Neodiprion lecontei: one gene and its partner. The protein of the gene in region 1 purifies or fractionates together with the protein of each later gene. This does not show direct contact. Links are inferred from orthologs where the notes say so. Each region holds a gene or a part of one and is shown on either strand. Other genes may lie near its edges.

The links.
Region 2: the proteins of F-box/SPRY domain-containing protein 1 (region 1) and E3 ubiquitin-protein ligase MYCBP2 purify together in Caenorhabditis elegans (affinity purification with western blotting; 3 studies listed by BioGRID). This does not show direct contact. The link is inferred for Neodiprion lecontei from reciprocal best matches to the Caenorhabditis elegans genes fsn-1 and rpm-1.

Annotation. Positions count from the first base shown.
Region 1 is NC_060261.1:34,103,046-34,110,580, reverse strand, and holds F-box/SPRY domain-containing protein 1, read left to right. Parts: upstream 1-2,673; 5' UTR 2,674-2,709; coding exon 2,710-3,014; intron 3,015-3,161; coding exon 3,162-3,435; intron 3,436-3,767; coding exon 3,768-3,858; intron 3,859-3,941; coding exon 3,942-4,036; 3' UTR 4,037-6,258; downstream 6,259-7,535. Other genes in the region: transcription factor Dp-1, read right to left, coding at 335-401, 986-1,104, 2,086-2,134. UniProt on the Caenorhabditis elegans protein: Component of a SCF (SKP1-CUL1-F-box protein) E3 ubiquitin ligase complex which is required for the restriction and/or maturation of synapses in GABAergic neuromuscular junction (NMJ) presynaptic neurons.
Region 2 is NC_060261.1:4,256,492-4,264,026, forward strand, and holds the start of E3 ubiquitin-protein ligase MYCBP2, read left to right. Parts: upstream 1-2,526; 5' UTR 2,527-2,996; coding exon 2,997-3,091; intron 3,092-3,211; coding exon 3,212-3,278; intron 3,279-3,471; coding exon 3,472-3,714; intron 3,715-4,085; coding exon 4,086-4,239; intron 4,240-4,319; coding exon 4,320-4,522; intron 4,523-4,639; coding exon 4,640-4,957; intron 4,958-5,041; coding exon 5,042-5,209; coding exon of another isoform or gene 5,210-5,227; intron 5,228-5,315; coding exon 5,316-5,534; intron 5,535-5,650; coding exon 5,651-5,852; intron 5,853-5,971; coding exon 5,972-6,361; intron 6,362-6,569; coding exon 6,570-6,735; intron 6,736-6,873; coding exon 6,874-7,034; intron 7,035-7,142; coding exon 7,143-7,277; intron 7,278-7,369; coding exon 7,370-7,535. Other genes in the region: mediator of RNA polymerase II transcription subunit 23, read right to left, coding at 1-49, 202-489, 600-782, 891-1,023, 1,096-1,340, 1,522-1,566.

The DNA of each region.
Region 1 (7,535 bases):
AATAGAAAAATATTTTGTTACATGAGAAATGTGAACTTTCTGATAACTGAAAAGACAGATATATAGATGGGTCCTATAGAAACAAACATATTTTGACAGTCCAGATAGAAAGGCCGTATTTCACTGGGTAACCTAAAACGGATCTATCTTAAAAGATGCTAAAAGTTGTGTATAGAGCTCTGTATGGACATGCTGTAACACTTTTTAAGTTACATCCATTCTAGATTGCGCGGCAAAATATAAGTGTTCTATCCGACCCATCGAAATACTTCTGTTTTCATAGGATCCGTCAATATGTACTGCAAGAAACTAGGTAAGAATCTGTAATACTCACGCTGACCAGGTGTTGAAGAACCTTGCAAACTGATGGTTCTCAGTACTTGTGTCCCACTGGACAAGACCTGAGTGTGCAAACAGTAATGGTCATAATATCATCACAATGAACCCAGGGTGCCCACTCACTAAGTGATTCAATATCCCCCGAATTGCTACACATTTAACTGACCACTGGGCACCCTGTAAATACAAAGTTGAAGCTAGAAGCTGGAAGCTTACACTAGCAGGCGGGGATAATTCTGCGTATCATCTATTGAATCCCTTGATTAAAAAATGTACAAGATAGCACACGTCAGAAATACTATATGTTGTGAGACAGTTTGAATTTTTGTTTTGAGAACTCCTGTTTGTGGCCATTGGGTTAAATTGTGATATGAATCAGCTCATCCGAATAGGTCTATAAATATGAGCTTCAGTGTCATCTTAGAAAGCTTTATGAACCATACTCAGTAGTCATACAAATGGGAACCGTAAAAAATATTCAAGATGGGAGTGCAGAATAATATGGATTGTACTCATTGTATAACATAATTAAAATATGTTTGCAAACCTGTTGAATATTGGTAGAGCAATTTTTCAATATATGGTAATTATTAGAAAAATGATACAAATGTTGCGAGTCTGATTATATATTTTAAATGATATTTACTTGGGTATCTTGGCCAGGTGTCTTGAATACCTTCAAACTCCCGGAATTTGTGGTGCTAACAAGCCCAGTTAGTGCTTTATTCGGCGTGCTCGGAACCACTTTAATAACTTGTGGTTGGCCTGTAAGAAAGTTTATTTTTTTTAAAATATCACAGATTAACAATTTTATATGATCCAAAACTTCAGTTAATCAACTAATGTATGTACATTAGATGGCTCTTCTGAGTAGTATCAAGTGTTTAGCAGTAGGGAATACTGAAATATTTAAGATTTCATATTGAATGGCATTCGTCCTTCAAGAGTCAATGCTGCTGTAGTACACAAATTTTAGAGGCAAATCAACTGATTGATCTTGAAGGCAAATAAGGAATGCCCTTGTTGCTAAGAAGAACAATAATGAATTATTTATATCCTAATTGAGATCTACAAGAATGATATTCAGTGTACGACTGATTATCAATACACGTTATTACGTGAAAACAATACAGCTAGTTTAACTAAAATAGGAATACCAAACAGCAATATCATTTAACATTAATCTTCAATTTCCAATAGCTATTTCTCAATGAAAGTGAACCAATTACAATCACGCGAGCAGTACTAAATATGTTTGTTTATTATTCATGGATTCCACAAGTATATCAATAAAAGAACAGAGAATTTGTCAGTGTCAATGTGTAAATTGTAAGTTTAACGTAAGGAAATCCAGAACTATACAGTGGGATGTTCTAGTTATCGATAAGTAAATGAAAGTGATTGGGATATTCTGTAAATCCTTAGAAAGAAATCTCGATCAAGATTATTAATGTAAGATTCGGTTACAAACAAAGATTGCAAAAATTGCATTCTTTCGTTCGCGGTATTCTGGTAGTAAACGCGAAACACACGTTTTAACGTGATTGAGTTTAGCAAGGAGCCTGCGATCAAATTGACGAATCCAAATAGAAATGGATATGCGAAATATAAGAATCGTGAAATTTGGTTAGAAAACGCGCTCCTCGGTTGATCGCACGAGGTATTGTTTCACACTTCATTCGACAAGGAATATTCAGAGACGGAGCCGTGCGTGCCGATTGTTGGCGCGCCAGTTGGACGACTTACCATTTGCGTCGTGTATCAAGAAATTCATCGTTTTATTTTGCTGGGTCATCACTGATGCTTCTGGATATCGAAGGTATCAAATATGATCCCGTAAGCGGACTGAAATTCGCGTGAAAATAAAAAGATCATAAGTGCAATAGTTAGGTCGGACTCGACGTATCACCAAAATGGCGACTCCGGCATTGCACTATTTGTGAAGTAAATATTGTAAAAACCCGGTTACCAAGTATCAATAATATTGCGAATTATCAAAATAAACTAACCGCGCTATCGTGCGCGACACACAGCTTCTCGTTGAATCGTTATCACGACATTAACAACGCGTCAGTAAAATACAGCTTTTTAGTGCAAGTAGAGCCGAGACGAGCTTGGCGGTAGCACAAAGCTAAACAGCTGATTGGCCAGTGCTGATCACGTGGTTCGCTCCGTTCCTCATCGTTCCCCGTCTACCGCAAACTTCAGTCATTGAGTATCGAATTATGTGTAGCTGGGGAACTCAGCGCTACTACACAAAACGTCAGTGAATCAATGTATCTGCGAATCACAGTGCAGAACGACCTCCCTATTTCGTTTCCTTTCCATCCCACCTGTATTTTGTTCCGTCGTTCACGTAGGACCGGCAAAATGGACGATATAGCGTCAAGGGTTCCCGATCATGTTTTAGAAGTGATATTTTCCTACTTAAAATTGCACGATTTGCGAAATTGTTCCTTGGTGTGTAAGAACTGGTATAGAATTTTGAACGATGAGAATAATGATGTATGGCGGTTACACTGTATTAGAAAACTCGCTGAAGAAGCGCTCAAGTCGGATTTGCTGTCATCGGTTCCCACCTATAAAGCCAAATTACGAGCTTTTTACCATGCTTGGAACCCTGACGATTGTTCCCGCAATATTTACATCAAACCAAACGGGTTCACTTTGCACCGGTAGGTGCAATAGCAGTATATTTTACGTTTTGTCACGTGCTGTGATTGAGTTGACTTCAATGCACACAACATACCCGTTACTTTAAATTTTCACACAAACCAAGCGATTTTCTTCATTCCAATATTCGCTTCATTTTCAACCTCCAGAAATCCAGTCGCTCAAAGTACAGATGCCTCTCGGAGTAAGATAGGATTCCGCCATGGACGTCATGCGTGGGAGGTAATTTGGGAAGGTCCTTTGGGAACCGTAGCTGTGATAGGAATAGCAACGAAAGAAGCATCTCTACTCTGCCAAGGGTATGTAGCTCTACTTGGTTCCGACGAACACTCTTGGGGATGGAACCTTGTCGACAATCATTTGTTACACAATGGGGATGCACAAGGCAATTATCCTCTTCTTAACAACGCTCCAAAGTATCAGGTAAGCTGATAATTTGCTACATATTCTTATCCATCAAATTGCAGGCACCAAATTTCAGGAAGTCAATGCGCGGTGTGACTCAAATGCCAAATGTTCATTTGAATGAAAATTCCAGCAACATGTACTTTGTAAGATTTGTTGAAAAATTTTTCCACCAATTAAATTGAAAATTTATCAACTTCTACTAATTTCTCACAAATCTGTCCTATAGAGTGAAAAACTTATGCAAAATAATTTACTTGGTATGAGCTCGTTTATATTTTTATTGAAATGAAAATTCAGAATTTCTAGCACATGATACATCAATTTATTAAAAGCTTATCTAATTTCAGATTGGTGAGAAAATAAGAGTAATACTGGATTGTGATGACAACACACTGTCCTTTGAAAAAAACTATGAATTCCTGGGCGTAGCGTTTAGAGGTATATTATTGTTTTTGCCAACAATGTTAATTTTGTCATAGTTGGTTCATGTATTTTCTAATGAAGTGGACATTTTTGTACAGGATTACCCGACAAGAGATTATACCCGTCCGTATCGGCTGTTTATGGTAATACAGAAGTTTCAATGGTATATCTTGGACCACCTTTGGATGGCTAACACTTTTTGCAAAATTTTGAAGTAAACTTGCAACACTCTCTCAAGCATGTGCCACGCGAGGATAGTCTGTTAAAATATATCTACGTTTAAGTAGAACTTCCACTAAGGCGAGTCCAAAAAAACGCGTATAAATAATGGATAAGTGTAAAAAATGAGCATCGCAATTCGAAGCATTGGCGACGATTGCGTACATAACTTGTTTATTGAACTGTTTATACCGTAGAGCATTAATTTTCTGAACATCAGTTATCCAAAATATTAATTATCAGAGCAATGATTCGGTTTATCCAAATCGTCAGTTATCATAAAGATTATTTACTTTGAATTTCCGGTTTTTCGCATAATAGGCCGCTACATATATTATTGTGTGACATTGTAAGCACAAACTTGCACGGCGTACCTCTTCTCCACCTACCAGACAGGAGTTTGCACACATTTGGCTTTCCAGTGTCAGTTCCTACTCATCTGCAGAGCTGTGAAAAAAGTGAGCCCCGATATTGAATCTGATGTTTTATGTACATATTCTATTACGTTCAACGAATTAGGGGTTGATTCCCACACTGTTTGGTTATACGAAAACTCGATAATCTAAATGATTGCCACCCCCAATTAGTTCGAATAATAGACGCTCTACTGTAGTTTGAATCTGGTTAGGTTGCATTTCACTCACTTGCCAACCAAGCTAGTATTGGTACATTGACTCGATTACCCTTCTAAATGCTAATGCTGATGGTTAAGCATCGTAGCAATTGCTATTGCGTGGATATTTTGAGCGCTCGATTATGTCCTATACGTAATTGAAAAAATTATATTATTAATTATATTAACTCTACACAGTTAAATATGCTCAAAGTCTTCGTAAGTGAGCTTTTGATTCATGCAGAAATGTCAACATTGAATTTTGAAGAGTATAATTGTGCGAGAATAATGTATAACAATGTACTGAAGTTCATTGCTAGTAACATAACAATACTGATTTCAAGATACCAATCAAGTCAGTGATGTATCTTATAGCTTGATTCTATGAAAGTTTCGGTGAATTTGTTATCTTGAAATACCACAGTGTAAGAATAATTATTTTTTAAGAAATTGTATATTTCCATAGGCTATGACCGACTACTTTCTGACAATTATAAATAGCAACCTTTTTATAAAAGCTAAAGCAGGTAGTGTGTGTGTGTGAGTTAAAAATTAACAAAGTGGGAGAGACAGTCGTAATAAGCAAAACAATGTTCTAATGTACATATTTATTGGTAATTATTACTATTTATTAAGAATTACCCTAGGTAGAATTCGTCGATTATTTTTTCTAAACTTTTGTACAGAATCGTGTACATAGTGATTATTGCATCTGTGAAAAATAAACTTTTTTTCATAAGTGTCCGTATGGTTTTAGTTAAGGTGTATTTTAAATACTGTTTGTTAAGTTTGTGCTCAGTGTTTCAAAATAGTTTATTACTCAAACTAATCACAAGAGTATGCATTAAACCCGATTGGTCTTTCCATTTGAAACTGTGGAATGCAACGAGTAGTGCCTTTAATACCGTCAAATTTTAATGTGGTTTCACAAATACAAAAATACTGACAGATACGATACAGGAAGAGATATCAGTTACATGTAATAATATCTCAAAACATCTAATTCCACAACAAAATATCTCGCAAAATAACCCCAGCAATAATAACCCACAACAATAATATCATGAGACAAAACTTTATAACACAAAATAACCATAGACAAAACATCTCGAGGTGATGGAACACTGTTTTTGTTGTATGCAATTTGTTGGTGTGTGTGGGATTAGTGGGGTTATTCGGTTCCTGTTCTTTTGTCACGGGTTATTTAGCTATGTTATTTGGTCCCTGTTTATTTTGCTCGAGTTATTTTGTCGTTTGATATTCTTGTGACTAGTTATTGTTTTGTAGATAGCTGAGATGGTTATTTTGTTGTTGAGATATATTCACGTCCCACCGAGGTATCACTTTAATGATAATTTAAGATTTATATGATGCCTGGTAAGTTGTTATTTTTCCTAGTCCTTCTAGCACTGCAATCTTGTAATAATTTTTTAACAAAATTTTCAGACAAGTTTTTTTTTTGCCATAATTCTGCGCAAAAGTTTCAATTTTGGCTTTTCACTTTTTACTCATTGAAAGTATGACGGCCCATTGGTAACTGCTACTCATCAGGGTATTTTGTGAAATATATTTGAAAAATGAAATACAAAAAAAAAAATTTTATGCGAATGTATGATCATATTTGTAAATAAATCATTTTATCTTGAAATGAAAAAAATGAATTCAGCTTTTCATGCATATAACACTATCCTACATACCTAATATGCAGTATCACAATTATCAAAAATAGGTAATATGTATATTTGGTGGCAACTACATCAAGAGTTGGGATCGGTAAAAGATATTCCGCAAGTACTTGTTATTTTTTCGTGTGTATTTTTGATAATCTTTGTTACAGCCCTCTATTTGGATTAAATTGAGATCGGAATCCTCCACCATCTACAGTTGTAAAATCGGTGTAGCATTTTTGGAAATATTAAAGGGGATACAATCATGTGTAACTACATCATTTTATACTTTCTGCAATATCTACACGGATGAATATTGTTTCAACTATTCTACAGGCTTAGATTGAAGGAACTGTAGCCAAGCGTGAATTGTAACGAGAAGGAAAACTTGAAGAATCGGTAATAAATATCAGGGCAGAATTGTACCCACTTTGTGATTGATAGTCATATTAAATTTGAAATGAATGTGAAAATGTATTTTACAAATATTCAACTTCTGCAGCAACAGACGAATTCATAATTCTTAACGCGTATGTTTTAAATAAGAAATAATTAATATAATCAGCAGTTTGCTGACTAATTGGGTAAAGTATTCATCTATATTAATTTTCCATAGTATAGGAATATATCTTTTTGTAACACCTGCATGAGAAGTTCAACTTCGCGTACCAAAAAGTACGCGCAAAGCGCCCGATTCCCCTACACTTTAAAAACCGTTAGCTAGAATTGAAAACTATTTGGGGATGTTCATTAAGATATAGTTTTCTCTTAGGTAATATTCATTACCTAACAATTGTACGGCATTACCTAACAGTTTGGGAATTGTTGGGGAATTAGCTACCTCGCGCAGCCTCTTCGGTGAGGAGGTAATGGTGGTGGTGGTAGTGGTGGTGGTGGTGGTGGGGTTGGTGGGGTTGGGGGCAATTCCCATTACAGGTGTTACAAAAAATAGAATACGAAACGCATGCGCACTTCGCTCGGCCGACAAACTACAGTAGTGCAAAAATCTCATACTTCGCGCACTTGAATCGTAACGTACTAATATGTGGCTGAGTTTCCTAATTTTTTTTTTTAAATAACCATGTCCATTAATTTCCATTCACCCCCAAATACGGTGCTAGGAGGGTTTGTGAAATGATGCCAATCTATAAAATGTCAAATTGAAAATTAATCCAGCGATATTCAACGCTGGC
Region 2 (7,535 bases), about 30 Mb from region 1:
GTACCAATTCAACCAGTTGTTCCTCCAATGCTACGCACCTCTGTTTGTGCTAGATTTACATAAATTTTTACCGAAATTAGTTACCAATGCCATTGATCGTGTGACGTATATTACGTTTTTATTCAATCAAAAATATTCTTCGCCTGACTGAATTTGAATATATTACACCTGATAATGAATTGATTAATTCATTCATCGAACCTGTTTCTGGAGGCCTAGCATGGAGCAAACCATATCTCTGCTGTACGGTTGTTCCAAGACATATCTTAAAAGTTCGGTTTGAGGTTTTAGCAAATCTTGATCGTAGGGTAAATTGCCTTTGAGGGAGAATTTAAGGGTCGTAGGATCGAGCCTCCATGGGTTGATGACATGGTCCGCATATCCAGAGTGCTCTACTACGGGTAGCATTTTTGAGTGCCCGATTATAGACACCATTTGCGCAGTGGCTCTGAAACTCTCGACAAACCCAGAGAGCAGTTTTGCTAATTTCTATTTAAGAAATAATACATTATTTTCATTTGGTAAGCAAAATAGAAAAGCACTTGCGATTCTAAATCGTGAACATTGTCAAGCATTAGCTTGAGATTTTTTGAACTCACCCAATGCGGCCAATTCTTATTATCGGGATAGGCCTTCTGTATTTCATTAACAATAAAATAGCCAGGCAATAGACATGCATTTCTGTCAAATATATATTCGATAACATTTTCCAGCGCCTTTAATTGCGGCTGTACAGATGCGTTAAGTCTTGCTGGTATCGTTTGTGCCTTTTCTCTGCAGCCCTGTGAAAGATCATGGAAAAATTTATGAGTATAGTCATTTTTCAGCTATGATTTCAATCGTGTAATATTTATTCCACGATATATGATAGCATAGAAATGACCACCCGCCTTCATTATTTCTCTGACACCTTTGTAATCCACTCCTCCAATGATCCGTCTGATGAGGTTAAAAGACTCGACCCAAAAATCCTCTTGCTGATACTGCAGCTTATCACAGCTGAGGATACATTCGCAAACCAATCTGGAAAGTCGTTAAATGATGATAATGAATTTATTAATTGTTAATTTTCTTGCGTCTCCCGTAGCTTCGTACCTTGCAGGTAATACGTTACTCATGACCAAGTTCTCCAGTAACGACAGAAGAAGTTGTAAGCGACTATGATTCGTCAGCGCAGCAGCCATGTTAAGAAATTGTCTAACGCCATTCTCTTGTTGTTCAGTATTGAGACCTGTCATAGCAGATGTTAATTCTGACTGCAATCCTGCTATTTTTTCAATTTCATTATCCAGATGGTGAACGAGAAAACAGCTGAATGCTTCTTCGATAGGTTCCACTCTCTGCGTGTAATAAAAATGCATAGCAATTAATTGTTTGATGGAAAAACAAGTCGTACCTTCGACAAATAGTGCAAAATGCAGAAGTGCAGTGCTGAGTGAGAATATCGCGAGTAAGGAGATAAAACTTATTGAAAATGTGGGAAAACTATTGAAGTAATGTCAAACCTAAAAATTCACTTACAAGAATGTCATTGACGATGTTCGATATTTGCGCCTCGTTACTCATTTTTAAATAGCGAATATTTACAAGTCGCTGTTCTACGTCAAATCTCTCTGTCAAATCACTTAGATATATGCATGCGTCGGATGCAAAACAAACTTGTTAAAAAAAAAAAATCATCGACCTAACCTCGTACGGTGTAAACAGATTATTCTACGGCTTCATTCAGCAGTTTAATGAGGTGTGGTGCAGTATGGTCGAGGTGGGGATAAAAGTCTGGGGCAAATACGAGTGAAAACTGACTGAAGGAGGCACTGGAAGGAGGGGAGAGCCGGGAAACCACGCGAGTGGCGCTAACTCGGGGAACTCCAGCGGCATTATCGTCCGAGAATTGCAGCGATTGGATCTAATTTACTGCTGTCTATAAAAATTGCTTCGCCTCGCGTAGTTTTATTTCCCGATGTTTCCGCTTTCGACGTGGTTTTTGCGGCTTCGAGTTCGAGCGAGCGAGCCAGTGAGATTTCTTATCTAATTGTAACATGTCTAGGAACGGTTCGAGTGTAGCTGAAAGAAGTTATTAATTAACGATCTCATGCTGTTATCGCAGTGCATTGTTTAGCGAATTTTCATAAAAACAGAGGAAAGATGGCATATTAATTGAAAAATATTGAGTAATGTGCAAAAGTTAACTGTGAAGGTAATTTGGGACAATTATACCATTAACCATCGGTAGAAAAAAGATTATTTCAAGAAATTATTCTGATCAATGTGATATTTGATGAAATTTTGAATTAGATGTTTCAACGCCACCTTTGTTTTCAAGCTGAAATATATGCTTGAGATAAGTAATTTGCATTCTGATTAGCAGCAAACTTAATTGCAGTTGAGAATATAAACGTTGACTGGAAAAATGAGTTTTATTGAGTCTGAAAATCATTTTCAAACCGTTGGTGCATCGAAAGACTTGTTTTGTGACAGGATTTGGTATTTTCATTGTCATTCTACTATGAACAATTTCTTTTGCAGTACATATCCACACTTTGCGATGTAATTCTGGCGTCGAACCATTCAAATGCGGTGTTTCGCGACGGTAAAAATTCGATAGGCAGTGGAATCGATCTGCATTGCAGTCAACTTCAATCGCAATTCGAGATATCGATGTACGGAAATCTCATATCTGTGTTTTCAACTTTCAAGCACGATAAACGTTGCAGCTGTACGGTTAAGCGAATTGGGGGAATGAGAACTGTAATTTAATGATATAATTGATAAATTGATATTAAGTAATCGTTAGTTTTTAATTTTTCGTAATCTGATAACATTAATCAAGTTTGTTCAAATTGTGAAAATGTTTTCTCCTATCTGGATAATTAGAGAAATTTATAAATAAGTGTGATCACATGGGAAAAGTGTCAACGATCAATAACATAACCAAAATGAAGTGACCAAGTGATTTTTGCGGTAGTTTATTTAATCGGATTTATCATTACTAAACCATGGTGTCTGGTGATGTCGACAAATTCTTACCCGAGCCTGACAACTATGCCAAATACTTTCACGAGCTGTTCAGGAATATAGCGGACATTCAAAGGTATAACCTCTCAAACCGTTACGTTTGTTTACCCAACATTTACAGCGGTGACTTCATCTGTCACGAAAAAACTCAATCTAAAACTTGACGATAGTACTCATCGTGTATTTTTATTCGCAGGGGAAAGGGAGATTGGAAAAAATCTAAGAAGTCTAAGACCGCCAAAAAAAAAGACAAGAAAAACAAGGTTATCTTAATAATTTTAACAAATACTTACATTTCCACGTTTAATAGAGCCTCAAATTAAATTGATTATATTTGTTCAAAGCATATGTCGTTTACACAATAACAGTAGCGGAAAATATAATTCCAAAATAGAAACAAAAAACTTTTAAAACAGAATGGAAGAAAATAACTATGTTCAGATACATGAATTCCAGTTGGATGTGAATGGCGACGTAAGCTATAACGGTCCTCCAGAAGTAGAGCTACCCAGCAATGCATCGGCCTTTGCTGTTTTTGCCAGTGTAAGAGCTGCCGTGTTGGAGAAACATGCCAGAGCTACAACCGAGGTATTTAGAGCTTCGAGCTGCAGTTCACCGCCTTTGCCCGAGCTCAGCGATACCATTGACAGTGACAGTGATGAGGAAGTTAGGATTTCAGCCCCACATAATTTACCAAAGGTAAAAATGAACTGTTCGTCCGATGGAAGCTAATCCCCAATTTGCTTTGTTCAAAATCCTTTCATAACTTTAGGAGCTTCTTACGATCAATTTGCAGCTGATACATGATATGATTGATAAAAACCATTTGTGAGTTTGTACAGAAAATTTATTTATCCTGCCTATGGCTATTGCCATGTAAGGTTATTGGTGTCGGTAATAGCCAGAGGCACAGAATGACATAATACTAGTACCAAGGTCCTTGGATAATGAAAGATATCGTACATATCGAATAGACCATTTTAAATCTTTGAGAATAAGGTACAATCATTTAACCGTTAATCGTATCTGATTTCAAAAAATATCCAACGGTATAATGTGTTTTTTCATAGATTGTCGGCATTGGATTACGTAGTGTATTTACATTGATGCGTGAAAGTAGAACCGTCGAGCCTCAATTATGCACAAAAGCATTATGTGCATTACTGGACGTATTGCAAGGCCAACTTCCTGAAGGTCTCGGATCTGAGCCTGATGATGTTGTTGGTAAGTGACAGAGCTGCTGAGGGTACAATGAGAAAACGCATGTCCTCAGATTTTTGTAAAATGTAATTTATTTCTTTCAGATCCACTTTTCGATCTTTTATTGGATCTTGCAACGTCTCATGGACCTGAGTCGGCGACGGCTAACGATGGCAGTCACCTGACCGCAGTTGCTTGTGCATGTTTGCTGAGTTTGGTTGTAGTTAGAGGCGATACTGGTCAAATTCTAGCAGCTACTGCTGCGCTACTCATGTGCCCACGAGCACTGGCTGCTCAAAATATTCAGGTGAAATACATATTCTTATTAAGTGACCCTGGTGTATGTCTGTAGGTTCAGACAATGTGTTTGCCTTTTGAATTTCGTCTATTAAAATTCTTCAATTACAAAATTCTCTCACTACAGATGCCATGCGTGTTGACTGCATTACAAAGAAGTGTCCATAGCGTTTTGCTTGGTAAGCTAGCAAGGCCTGATTGGATAACACATGGAGTTCCTAAAAGTTCTAAGATTAATACATCTACGCTTAAATTACCAAATGAAATGAGTAATGTTGTGCTCAATGGGAGAAGTTTTGTAAGTGATGGAAAGTACCTGTATTTACACACCTGTCGTGGGTTGTTGAAGATTGGCAGTGGACATGGTGGAACAATTTGGGGGCATCTATATGCTCACAAAGCTGACTTTTACCCAACAGAGACCGGATGGCTTGGATTTGCAAACGTTAGTTCAATCATATACATATTATTTACACAATGATTTGGCACTCTGTATTTATTTACATTTATCTATATATTTCTATTCCAGGGACTGTTATATTTTAAGTGCACGCCTAGGAAACAATGCGAATTATTGATATTAGATACGGAAACTCTGATGGTAAGAGGCGTGGCGGTATTAGAAGGACGTGACTGGCCTGCCTCCGTTATGTTCTCTGATGGAGAAAATTTGGGCATGATTACTGCAGCCAAAGATGTGAGTTCACTGGAATATGTAAGCAGAAAATGAGAATACTCGATTTTTGAATATGCTAGGCACTTGTAATTAAATAAAAATTGAATCCCGCCGGCTTTTTCTACAGGAGGGCTTCGTCGTTCGTACAATCAATACATTGAGTAATCCTGTGACAGTCACATCCGAGCTACCACTGAAATTGGCGAGAAAATGTGTCGATGTCATTGGTTCAGCATCGTTCGATGAAGAACAAAATGTACATACACTGAGTATTGGATGCGACGATGAAGTCTCGTTTGTTACAGCAGGCAAAGAATTTGCCCTGCTGAGAACTGTTACTGGAAAGGTAATTTTGAAACACCATAGACTGCAATTGATTCCAATATTCATAATGATTTGAAGAATATTCGCTCGCATGCAGCAAATAACGAAGTTATGCTCATTTCCGCTGTTTTGCAACAGGTATTATACAGTGGGAAAGGAAGCTCTTTAGGGATCAAGGGTAACGGAAGGCCTAACAGGTGGTCAGAGTTAACTCTGGGAAAAGGACCACGAGTAACTCACATTGCTGCAGGCCACGATGGTCAGCATGCCATTATACTGCTGGAAGATGGATCTGTATTATTTGTTGGAACTGCAAGGCGTGGGGAAGATGGCGATAATAGTGGGTTTTATTTTTTGTGTTTCTCCATTCATCTCACTGCAGTTTTTCAAGCAAATCAATTCCATTTTCTGTACATCCAGCTGCGATTCTTTGTCATAGTCTGTCGATAAAATTTTCAGATAAGGCTAGACGGCAGCCAAAACCAGTTAAACCAAAGAAAATGCTCAAAGTTGAGGGACAATTTATAGTAGATGCAGCATGCAATAATGGATCAACAGCATTAGTAACGAAAGACGGCTCTCTGTTGATGTTTGGGAAAGATGCAACGCACTGCGACAATGTTTCCGGTGTTGTTACCGATTTGAGTGACGTTCACGTGGCACATGTTTCACTTGGAAAAGCTCACGCCGTCGTTTTGACCAACAAGGGACAGGTTTACACTTTCGGAATAAACAATAAAGGACAATGTGGAAGAGACTTCACAACTACTCATATTACAAACAAGGAAGTTACTGTTGTGGCAATGGAAACCGGTATCGGGGAAGACGAACTGATTGTTGCTGAAGAGGGTAAGTAAAGGCATTTTTTGGCAAGCTGCTGGAATAGGTAGCAAAATGAACAAAAGTATAAATTACTTGATACACAATATTGCTTTGTACACCTTGGTTGCAATACCAATAGCTTGTCAAAAAATGCCTTAAATTGAATAAATCGTTACTTTTAAACATTGTCAATGCTACAAGGGCATACAATTCACGTTTATCAAATCAATTGTAGATGGTAGAGGTCCAAGCGATGAATGGGAAGAAGCAGCTGGGATGTGCCCAGCAGGGCAGCATCAGTGGAGACGTAGAGTTTGCATGGTGTGCACTGTGTGTCGAGAGTGTACCGGATACAGTATAAGTTGTCTGAGCAGTATTCGTCCAGATCGAAATCCTGGCCAGTAAGTAATTTAACGAAACTGAATGTTACGTGTTGTTTATTTTTTCAGGAAGTTGCCGCAAATTTTTACAATACCCCTGTTGAACCATGTTTACGACATACAAAGTTCGCAAGTTTTGAATGTTCTTTTATCTCGCAGAGAATGCGGTTGTGGAGAAGGTGATAGTGGCTGTGCAGAGTGTGGCTGTTGTCGTATTTGTGCAAGAGAGAGCGTCGATAACGGTGGCGAACTAGCAGTATTGGGACCTTCCGGAGTTGGCGATATAACTGATATGATGAGACTAGACGTGATGTTTGGAGGTAATTCTTACGCTCATTATTAATCCTATATGTAACTGAGATACGTAAGTAATTATACTTACGTCATTTGGCTATAAAAACGTGAAATTAAAATAATTCTCACTTCAGCGCGACATGGGGTTAAGCTGCAAGATCATTTACAAAAAAGATTCGAGGAGAGACGGCAGAGACAGAGAGGTAAACCAGGTCCAAGTGTGACGAAATACGCTATGAAAATTAAGGGTGGCAACAACCAAAGATCCGGTAATTTATTAATGTTTTTTTTTGGAGTGATTCTATCGACATTTTGAATATGATTCAAATATTCACACTGTGTCGAAAACTTGTTTCTGTAGCAGGGCCAAGCGTCATTCCTCTGAAGGGATCTGGAGGAAAGGGTGCCATAGCGGTACCCACTAATGTTCAAGCAGAAGAAGGTATTGGTGGAAGCGATTTGGAGAGAGGAGATGCCGCTCGAGTATCCAGCCTTCCAGCAGCTAAACTGTCGATACCAGCCGATAG